Linked DNA regions of Drosophila melanogaster. The protein of the gene in region 2 interacts with the protein of the main gene of each other region in a pairwise test. Each region holds a gene or a part of one and is shown on either strand. Other genes may lie near its edges.

Region 1 (4,789 bases), on a different chromosome or scaffold from region 2:
ATTCAAAAAGTTGTCCCTAAAAGTTACAATTAAGCTTTTTCTCAAACATGTTCAAAATATCTATCTGTATCTATTAACTACATATAATTGCATTCGGTAAGTAAGTAGGTTAAGTTCCCTACACAAACATTTGTTACTTTTACCAAAATAATTCTATCCAGTTTCGCAGTTTTTTTTTCTGTGCATGCTTCTCAAGGTCAGAACTTCGCTCCTCTAGCTCTGTATATATCATTCTATCTCCCTATGGGAATATGCCGAAAATAGAACTCACTAGCCCGGAATTCACAGACTGCAGTCTGCACTCCTAGGCCAAAAAGAAAAACAAATAAAGAAATGAAAACTGCACTGTATTTTTGGGCTATAAATAAACGGAGCAGACGGGAGAAGCAGATGCAATCGAAACTTTTTGAAATTTTAGCTGCACTCCCAAAGGAATACTATAGAAACTACAAAGTATTGTGACGTTCCAATTTCAGCGGTGATAACTTACGTTTCCAAGTGTTGTTTTCTTCTTATTGTCTACTTGGGTATCCGAGGCGCCCTTGAAAGGGGCCTGTTCCTTTGGCTGTTAACTCTGCTGGCTGAAATTAAAAAGAAAATATATTAAATTTAGAGCCAAAGGCAATTGTGAGTGAATTGTGGGGAGTGAGGGTCGAGTAGCCATTTACCTGGCCATTAACACGCTGCGCATAAGCCGCATCATGCCAACTTAATTATACGGCCTCAAAGGCTGCGGCACGCAAAACAATGATGAAGGCGGGTGGTGAAAGTTGGAATTCATTGGATGGCATGGGATTGGATGGGATTGGATAGTATTGAATGGGATTCGATTGGGCGCGGTTGACAGTCGAAGATAATGAAGTTCGGAATGCGCTTAAGGTTCGCTTATTGTGCACTGCGACAGATAAGCTCCTCGGTGGGCCACACACTCTTGACCAGGTTAATGAATAATCAGCTGGGGTCGAGCATATGGCTGCGAAGGTAGATCTTTTTAATTAACTTGCCGTGGCCGAGTTCCTTTCGACCAAAGGAAACAATTAAACAATGGAAAACCAATTTCCGAAACTATAATAACATGATTACATCGGCGGTCTTTTGAGCATCGAACGCGTAAAGGGAATTTAATAGAAATTAATTGTTCACACAATTGCATTGATATCCCTTATAATTAATTTTCTTTAATGAGCACAATTCGGAGCTTCATTGCGTTACTAAAATGATACAGTAAAATGTGGCATGAAAAATTATACATCAATTCATACATTTTATGATGATTTCGTTTTTAGTATTATTGCAGATTGGTTTTATTTGCAATCACTAAGCTTTTGAATATAGCAATATTTAAACATAATACAGATTTCAGCAACCAACAAGTTGACTTAAAACAAGTGACTTAAAAACTTCAATAGCTCGGAAACATTTGGAATATTTTTCCATATTAGATTTTGGTAATATAAATGCTATTTGTCTGTTGAAACAAAAACTTTTCAACAAAAAGGTGTACAACTTTATGTAGTTTTTAAAATACCTTTAAATGAATGGATAAAGAAAATGAGACAACACTAAGAAATCATAAGCAATACATTTACTTTAAAGTTGCCAACGCGCTACTTTCGAGCAGTTTTTAATTTAAGTTGCAAAAGTGGCCAGTAAATTCGAATCAAAACTAGTTTAGGTGGATATCTATTGCCAGCGTGCTGCAATGGCACTTCTTTAATGCTGCCAGCGACCTTGAACTTCCGCCCAGCTGAAGCACACTCGAAAAGAGCGGAGGAGGGATGGGGTTGGAGGGCAGATGAAGTGAATTGAAAAGAGGCGAGTGCTCGCAATAAAGCTAAAAGGAAAACTGGAAAAAACTGTTGCCTACTTTCCGGCGGCACATAAATTTAAACCGCACACGCCTCTCTCACTTAATCTTCCGTATTATTTTTATTTTTATATTTCGAAACGAGAAATTAATTGTTTTGTGTGAGAGGTGTGAATATAAAAATAAATACGAGAAAGCCCACCACAAACATTCCAAATGGATGGCGAGAATGGGAGAAGGAACAAGCAAAAGCAAAACCGAAACCGAAACAAAAGCAAACAAAGCAATCAATGATAAGCGAGCAGCGGGCAAAAGACAAACACAAACAACAGAAATGGAAATAGAAAATCTCTGAAAATGTCGCTGATTGAATCGAACTAAAAATAAGGCAGCAACACGGCGTATGAGCAATGTGCGTCTCTGTGTGCGTGCCTGTGTGTGTGAGTGTGGGCAAATTATTGCCATGCTTTCTGATGAGATATGCACACACACACACACACACACACACACGTAATATAGCGTATAACAGATCCTCATCAACATATATTTGTATACATGATTATGTCAAAATTTGTTAATAAATTTTGAACGCGAAGCCGAAGGAGATGAAAATAATTTTGACAGCTTTTCACGAATGTGGGAGTGTGCACACGGTGGGATGTTGAGAAAGCGCAATTTTCAGCCAGGTGACATTTTCCCAAGCTCCTTCTCTCGCCGAGATTCTCACGCCTTTCGCCGTTTTCTCTCTTCTTTTTTTTACATAATCAGCAGCCATTGAATGCGTCGAGCTCATCTCCATTTGAATGCGTTTCCAAAAACGAGCTTAAAATCAGGACGTATCCACCCCGTTCGACTCACTTGCGTTGGCTTCCTCTATTTCCTGATGCTTCGCGAAACTTTTGCAAATTTATTCGCATGCCTTGGCGGCACAAGGACTTTCACTGACTTCACTTTCAAACTGAGGTACGATGTATTACCGCCTTGGCTCAAACCAACACTCGCGTCGCGATTACTGGTGCTTTTGGACGCACCCTCACGCACTGCGCGACAGGTGAAAGATCTTTGGGTAGATCTTTGCACCCCTCTATATACACTTAATAGATATATATATATGGATATAGGTGGTTGGGAATCGAACTGGGCTATAGCTATTATCGGCGTATCGGTCCGCACGTCCACTCGCGAGCGTGCCAGAAATGAAAATGAATGTTTTTCTCTGCTCGACTCTCGAACGCTTGATGATCAGCCGTTCTTGAGGTGAAATTTTATAAATATAACCTGAGGCAACAACAAAAGTGCCACAAATATTTCTGCGTCTTCTTCCCACTTTCACGTAGCACTTTTGTTGTTTCCCAGCTTCACCCGACCCCAACGAACCTGTGCAAGAATTATATACATATATACATATAATATAATATATGTACCATAATTGTCTGTAAGAATTCCTCTCGCTTTTTACAATGTCGCGCAGAAAGTCCAAGAGCGACAATATATTGTTCAATACGTATTCTTACCTGTTATTGTTCTGGCTTATTTCGCAGTTATTAGAGTGAGATTTTCACTTTTCTTTAGTCCAGCGGAAAGAAAAGCTGAGGAAAAGATCGACGCCCACGCATTTATCTGGCAGAATGATTCATTTTCGAATTTTTTTAAATATTTATAGAAATATTGATACTTATATAGAATAAGGAAATTGATGTCTTAGCAAATATCGCGCGAGTTTTATGTAGTTATAGAATTCAGCATAATTAAAAGTGTTAACAGAAAGACAAATGATTTAGAGATAGGTAGGTTTTTTACTCTAGACATCATAATAAAATATATACGCTTAAGATTTGTCATTGAATTATTAATATTTATTTCATCTTAATTTATTAAGTTCTGTTTCTAAGCACTTGTTTACGTAATATATATTAATAATATGCCTAAGAAGATCAACATTTGTTACTATGTTGTCTTAAATCATTTAGTTCTTTAATATTACTTATTTTTCGCTTATTATTCTATAAATACCAAATTCCTCTCCGTCATCACATGCAGTATGATTGGTCTGCATTTAGCCATCCTCGCCAGACATTCGGTCTTTTGTTCGGTCATTTGCTTGTCCCACATGACATCTTGTCAATAGGCTGATGAATCGGGTTAGCCGTTAATATATTTTCGGAAAAAATAGCGAGCTAAAACAAAGCCGCAGCCGCAGTCAAAACAAAAACAAACCGAAAAAATGCGAATTATGAGCGGGCCAAAACAAAGATGTCAACACGTTCGCCAAGGCAGCTCAAGTTGTTGACGGACTCTAGGTCAGTCCCACTGACAACGCCATAGCCACAGCTATATCCTCTATTACACGCTGAGAAAAAGTTACTAAAATGGTAACCAAATGTATTTTTTGAATATATATAACATACATAATTAGGTTTCGAACAGCATCTCTTCATCAATATAATATTTTGATGTCACTAATAAAAAGTTAAAGTGTGTGCCCCTCCTATTCGATGCTGATATAACGAAAATTATTAATTAACGATGTTCCTTTGAAAGTAATTAATTTATCAAACTGCTTTCCAAGAATTAACTAAGGATTCGTATATTTTCCATGTGCATGAGAATCACCGCTGGATTTGTGCGCAGTTGCTGGTTCTCGTGAAATTGAAATTGCGTATTGCGGACATTGCATTGTGAACACTGCAACAAGGCTATCGGAACGGCGACAATTGTATAGCACGAGTTAAGACCCATTTCCATTAGCGGAGCGTCCGAAATAGTGGCATCTATTCATTCCCAGCATATTTGAGAGCAACTCATTAGGCCCGAGCCATGATTAATTAGAACTGATGGATGGCCAATTGACGAATGGAAGGCATGGCTGCGGCGATGCGAGCCAGGAGCCAGCAGCCAGGACGCATTATTGATGGACACGTATGCTGGGAATCCGGAACCTCCAGTGAAAGCCACTCGACCAGGGGACACTTGGCATTGCCA
Region 2 (5,194 bases):
AACATTTTTCAGAGTACATAATTTAATTCAAAATGAAAAATATAACTTTTACGATATAGCTTTTTTCAATGGTATTTACTTATCCATTGACCTTCTTGTGATAATCAAAACACTTACGTTCTCCAGGGTCAAACAGCTACATTTGTGGCGCCCTATTATCCTGCAGAGCATATTTCTCTCGAGGATGGAGTGGGCTCCACTGCATCTCATCGCCACGCGGACACAACTGAACTTCATCATTGGCCCTTGCCCGAATACCAATTCCCAAACACCGGGGCACTAAAATGAGCTTGTAGCCAAATGGGCAATTGCCACGCACTAAAATTTTGAATATGATCGGAAATTGTTGAAAAATGGATTTGTACTCAACCGAAAAGAAATCGACAGTAAAATCATAAGCAAATCGACAGAGATGGCAACTGTCACTAAACAGAACGAGAAGGAAATATAACGATTTTGGGATTGCTTATGGAGCTGACAACTGCTCCTTTTCAAATACTACTTTGATTCGAACTGTAATTCTTCCACAAATCGAATTATCTATTAAATCTATTCCGTTTATTAATATCTTATAAATCTATCAAAATTCTATAGTGCAAGTATAGGTGAAACAGACTGAGATTTTCACATTTCAAAAGTACATACTTGATTCACTTTTGTTAAGAAAACTAATTTGGATTAATTTTTCTAGATTTTTATATTTTCAACAATTTACACCTCGCTTTATCCTTATTGAACACGTTCGCAATATAATATCCAATGCAGTACCCCAGAGTTATGTGGTGCGCTACGATGTGTGGTTGGAGTGCTCCGATTAGCTAAGCTTTTTGTGGGTCTCTTCGGATCCGTTCCGTTCTACGGGGTTCTCATCGTTCAACTTTCGGCTTATGATCTAGAGATTTCGCTTGTGTCCAAGTTTCTGAGTTATTGTGTCTTCTTGTCTGTCTGTCAGTGATTTGTGTTTGCTGTTCGGTTTTCTTGTTTCGTTTAAGGTTCTTGTGAGTTCCCGAATCAGATTCGTTGGCCCGATGACTTAGTGATTGACGCCCTTGCGCTCCTGGATGTGATCAATATCGTAGGCGATGGTGCCGCGCAGCTTGGGCTCCAGATTGTTGGAGTACACGTCCGTCCAGAGGTGGCTCACGCCCAGCTCGGCATCGGACTTGGCGAAGGCGGTGGCCTCGTCGACCTCCTTGCGTACCTTCAGATCGATGGCCTGGAAGATGTTTTTTTCTTTTAGCAATCATAACTCATAACAAAAATAAAACCCTATAAGCCAAACCCACCTTAACTTCATCGGTGGTAATCAGACCCAGCTCGATGCACAGCTCCTTGAAGGAGGTGATGGGATCACGCTTCTGGCGCACCTCCTGGATCTCCTCGCGTGTGCGGTACGATGTGCCCGGATCGGACATGGAGTGTCCAGAGTATCGGTACGTGTTCGTCTCCATCACCAAAGGTCCGTGAGTGTTCACATAGTTGATGGCGAACTCGGTGGCGCTGCGCACGGCCAGCACATCCATGCCGTCCACCCAGATTCCGGGCAGAGCGTCGCCGCGGGTATAGTAATCAGTGTTGCAGGAAGCACGCTCAGAACTGGTGCCCATTCCTAATGGGTATAATTATACAACATTTGGTTTAAGTAAATATCTTTTAGCATTGTTCCACTTTCTACAGCACTCACCGTAGTTGTTGTTCTCGCAGACAAAGATCACAGGCAGTTTCCACAGGTAGGCCATGTTGTAAGCCTCGAACACCTGTCCTTGATTGGCGGCACCATCACCGTAGAGGGCCAGGCACATGCCGCCATTGCCCTTGTACTTGCAGGCCAAGCCAACGCCGGCACCCAAAGGAACTTGAGCACCCACGATGCCATTGCCTCCGTAGAAGTTCGGTGCGTACATGTGCATGGAGCCACCCTTGCCGCGGGCACAGCCACCCTGGACACCGGTGAGCTCAGCCAGTACGCCGCTGGGTGAGACGCCCATCAGGTAGGTCCATCCGTGGACACGGTACGCCGAGATGATGTTGTCCACATCCCGCATCGCCGCCTTCATGCCAACGGCGCATGCCTCCTGGCCGGAATACAGATGACAGAAGCCGCGAATGATCTTCTCCTTGTACAGATTACCGGCGGCCGTCTCCAACCGACGGATCGTCTGCATCTGTGTGTAGTACTTGAGGGCCTGATCCTTGGTCAGCTTCACTTCCGTGGCGGGTCCTTCGTCCAGGCGGTGCAGCTTGAAGGGCTGCAAAGTTGGAAAGCATATTTAGAATTTAGATCCCTAAACTTCATTAATTTTAAAAACGTTTTCTACTTTTACATTAACAACTGACACACACATCTGATAAGAACGTAACGGAAACGTTTGGAACGCATGATAAGTAATAAAATGATAGCAGTTTGATTGGATAAACCAAATAACCATAGGCTTCAAGCTTCTCTAATCAAAGTATACTAATCTATAGAGAGCTATAACCACATATCGAGGATTTTCGGAAGTATGCTCCAAAAACCAAATTTGGATTTATGGCGGCTAATTTATGGCGTGAGAATCGACGTAAACAGAGAGCCAGACAGACAGACGGAGAGAAAGAGAGAGAGGGTGAAAATCGGCGGATCGTTGATAAGACTATATGTTATATGGTGCGTGAACAGTCACGCGTCGGCCACGCAAAAGGCAGACGGTGATAAAGAGCGTGGGAGACGGAAAACTACAAATTACTGCGTGACCTTGTCATTTGAAAATGAGCGGATTGACCGGCAAAATGCAACCCTGCACTTACACACACACACACACACACGCAAACCGTTTGCTATCTGGCGAAAATCGCATTATGTAACCGTATTTTTTCCCTTCCGACTTTTGAATTTTCCTGAGTTACAAGTACTTAATGCTATAATACGCACCCGATTCACTTGAACGGTGGCCTCCGTGGCATAATTGTTGGTTTTCGAAACACCTGCTTGGGCTGCATTCTGGAATAAACCGAAAAACGACGATGAATATCTCCCATTCCTGATGATATCGATGCTGCTGTTGTTGTTGTTGTTGCTAAGTATCCGACATCCGCTGATGATGATGTTGTTGTTGTTGTTGTTATGGCAACGCTTTTAGTGTTTTCATTATCGAATGGATTTGTTCAATTGCATTTTTAGTGACAACAATTAGAAATGTTAGTGGGTGCAAAGCGGGATTGGGATTACGTACTTTTTGCAGTTGCTTAACAATAATGGGCAATTCGCTAACGCGTGACAGAGTACGCAACATTTTCGCTGTGTTATTCTCGTTCGACTGACAGAAATTGGATGTGAATGGGGGCTTTCTATATGCGGATTGTCCGGATCTAGAATCGCACGCTATATATCTGGTGTCTCAGTCGCACCGCCGCGCGTCGTTGTAAGTTAAACAATCGGAAAAAAAGGTAGCGAGATTAGTTTATCAACTACTATATTGCACAACTATAACAACCGTTTGGCGTTATAGCGAAAAATAACGCACCACTTGGCCTATTAGTGTGACCCTAAATAAAATACTGCAGCTTTCCCTGTTTTCAAAAAATACTAAATTAGCTTATCGAACTTTCTTTTTCAATATAACTTGAAATATAAATGTTTACGTAAAATATTCAATAAGCTTTTATATAATGTGTCACACAATGTTATATCAAAATAATAGTAGTGTTTGGCGGTTATTGAAATACTCGAATAAATACTTACTCAATCACATTTTATATTACTTTGCCGCCCAAATAAAACGAGGGTTTTCAAAGAAGTACTTTTATTTCACATTGAAGATCTCATTTGGTTTTTGTTTGCTTTCTCATTTCTTACTCGTATTGTTACTTGAAATTGCCTCCATAAATCCACATTTGCGATTGCAGTTGCAATTGCAATACTGCTCTATATCGCACTCAGCTCACATAATTCACTAATCTCTTACAAAAACTTAAGTAATGTTTGTTCCTTGCACAAAAAACCAGTTAAATAGAAATAGGTAAAGTAGAATTAAACAGTTAAATTCAAATAAACGCTTTACAAACTAAGATTTTAAACTAGTTTTTGTATTTGTTGGTTTCTCGGTTTGTTGTTTCATTTTTTTTTTTTTGCTTTAGAAATGGCAGCTAAAAGATTTGAGTTTAAAAGTTACTAACGGAAAATGAGGAAATGGATCGATCGTTTGGGAAAAACTAAGCGAATGAAATAAATTTTTTACTTTCTTTTATCTATCTTTTGCTCTGTTACCGTTACACATATTCAATTTTTCGCGCGTTTTTCTGTTACATCAAAAATTGGTTTCTCACACAAATATTTTGCATTATGACAAAAAATTATGCTTTGCTTTGTTTTTTGTTTTGTTTCATATGTATACATGTACATGTATATATATATATATTTGTATGTATAAACACTTATTAGAAGTCCTGTTGTGTTTTTGTTTCCTTTCCCGTTAGAAATCCGGCATTCCGATTATAAGAAAAAAATTTAGTTTTTCTCTTCGTCTTCTTGTTTTTGCGAGTGCTTGTGTGTGTGTAAGTGGGGGAGGTGTGTGTGTGTGTGGGTGAGAGAGAGAGAGGAGGTTCTATCTTACCGTTAGCATAAATAGTTTTGTGTCTACGCAAAAACGTGCTGAGCAATAATCTAAAACGCAATAGCTAAAGAGAGAGAGGTGCTGTATGTGTGTGAAAAGTAACGGTAAATGTGTGTGATTTCTGCATATGTCTTCTGTTGTTTTCAGGAAATTACGTATTAAGCTTCTTATTTTTTTTGGTTGTTTTTAGTAGGTTTTACTTAGGTTCTTGCTTAATTTACACCAATGTTTACTTTATTTTGTATTTCTTGCATGAATATATATATTTACTTTTTGGTTTCCTTGTTTCTTATTACTGTTCGCTTTCATTCCTTGAAATTTGCCTTTAAATTGTTACTGTTCTTCTGTTTTATATAACATAAATCCGATTCGGAGAAACACATAGCACACACTTATATAAACGACAAGATGATAATTATTTATTTTGTCTTTGCTTTTGCTTTCGACTTTCTCCGCCTTTTTGTTTTATTACTGCTTGCACACCACCCTCATGACCTCCCTAACCTGGTTTTGACCTAGAAAGTCTTAGTTTTAAAATTCATTAGAATAATCAAATAAATAATAATTACTATGTTATATCAACTATTATAATTCTCCCTATC

Evidence for each region. Proteins that work in one complex are often made in the same cells at the same time.
Region 1: the proteins of Pdha (region 2) and tn interact in a two-hybrid assay, tested with the Drosophila melanogaster proteins (one large-scale study listed by BioGRID).

What each region holds. Positions count from the first base shown.
Region 1 is NT_033778.4:18,985,568-18,990,356, reverse strand, and holds the start of tn (thin), read right to left. Parts: upstream 3,014-4,789; 5' UTR 2,666-3,013; intron 974-2,665; exon of another isoform or gene 669-973; intron 582-668; 5' UTR 491-581; intron 1-490.
Region 2 is NC_004354.4:4,700,610-4,705,803, reverse strand, and holds Pdha (pyruvate dehydrogenase E1 alpha subunit), read right to left. Parts: upstream 3,480-5,194; 5' UTR 3,273-3,479; coding exon 3,213-3,272; exon of another isoform or gene 3,113-3,212; coding exon 2,912-3,112; intron 2,250-2,911; coding exon 1,685-2,249; intron 1,610-1,684; coding exon 1,287-1,609; intron 1,217-1,286; coding exon 1,034-1,216; 3' UTR 539-1,033; downstream 1-538. Other genes in the region: CG7024 (uncharacterized protein), read right to left, coding at 118-240.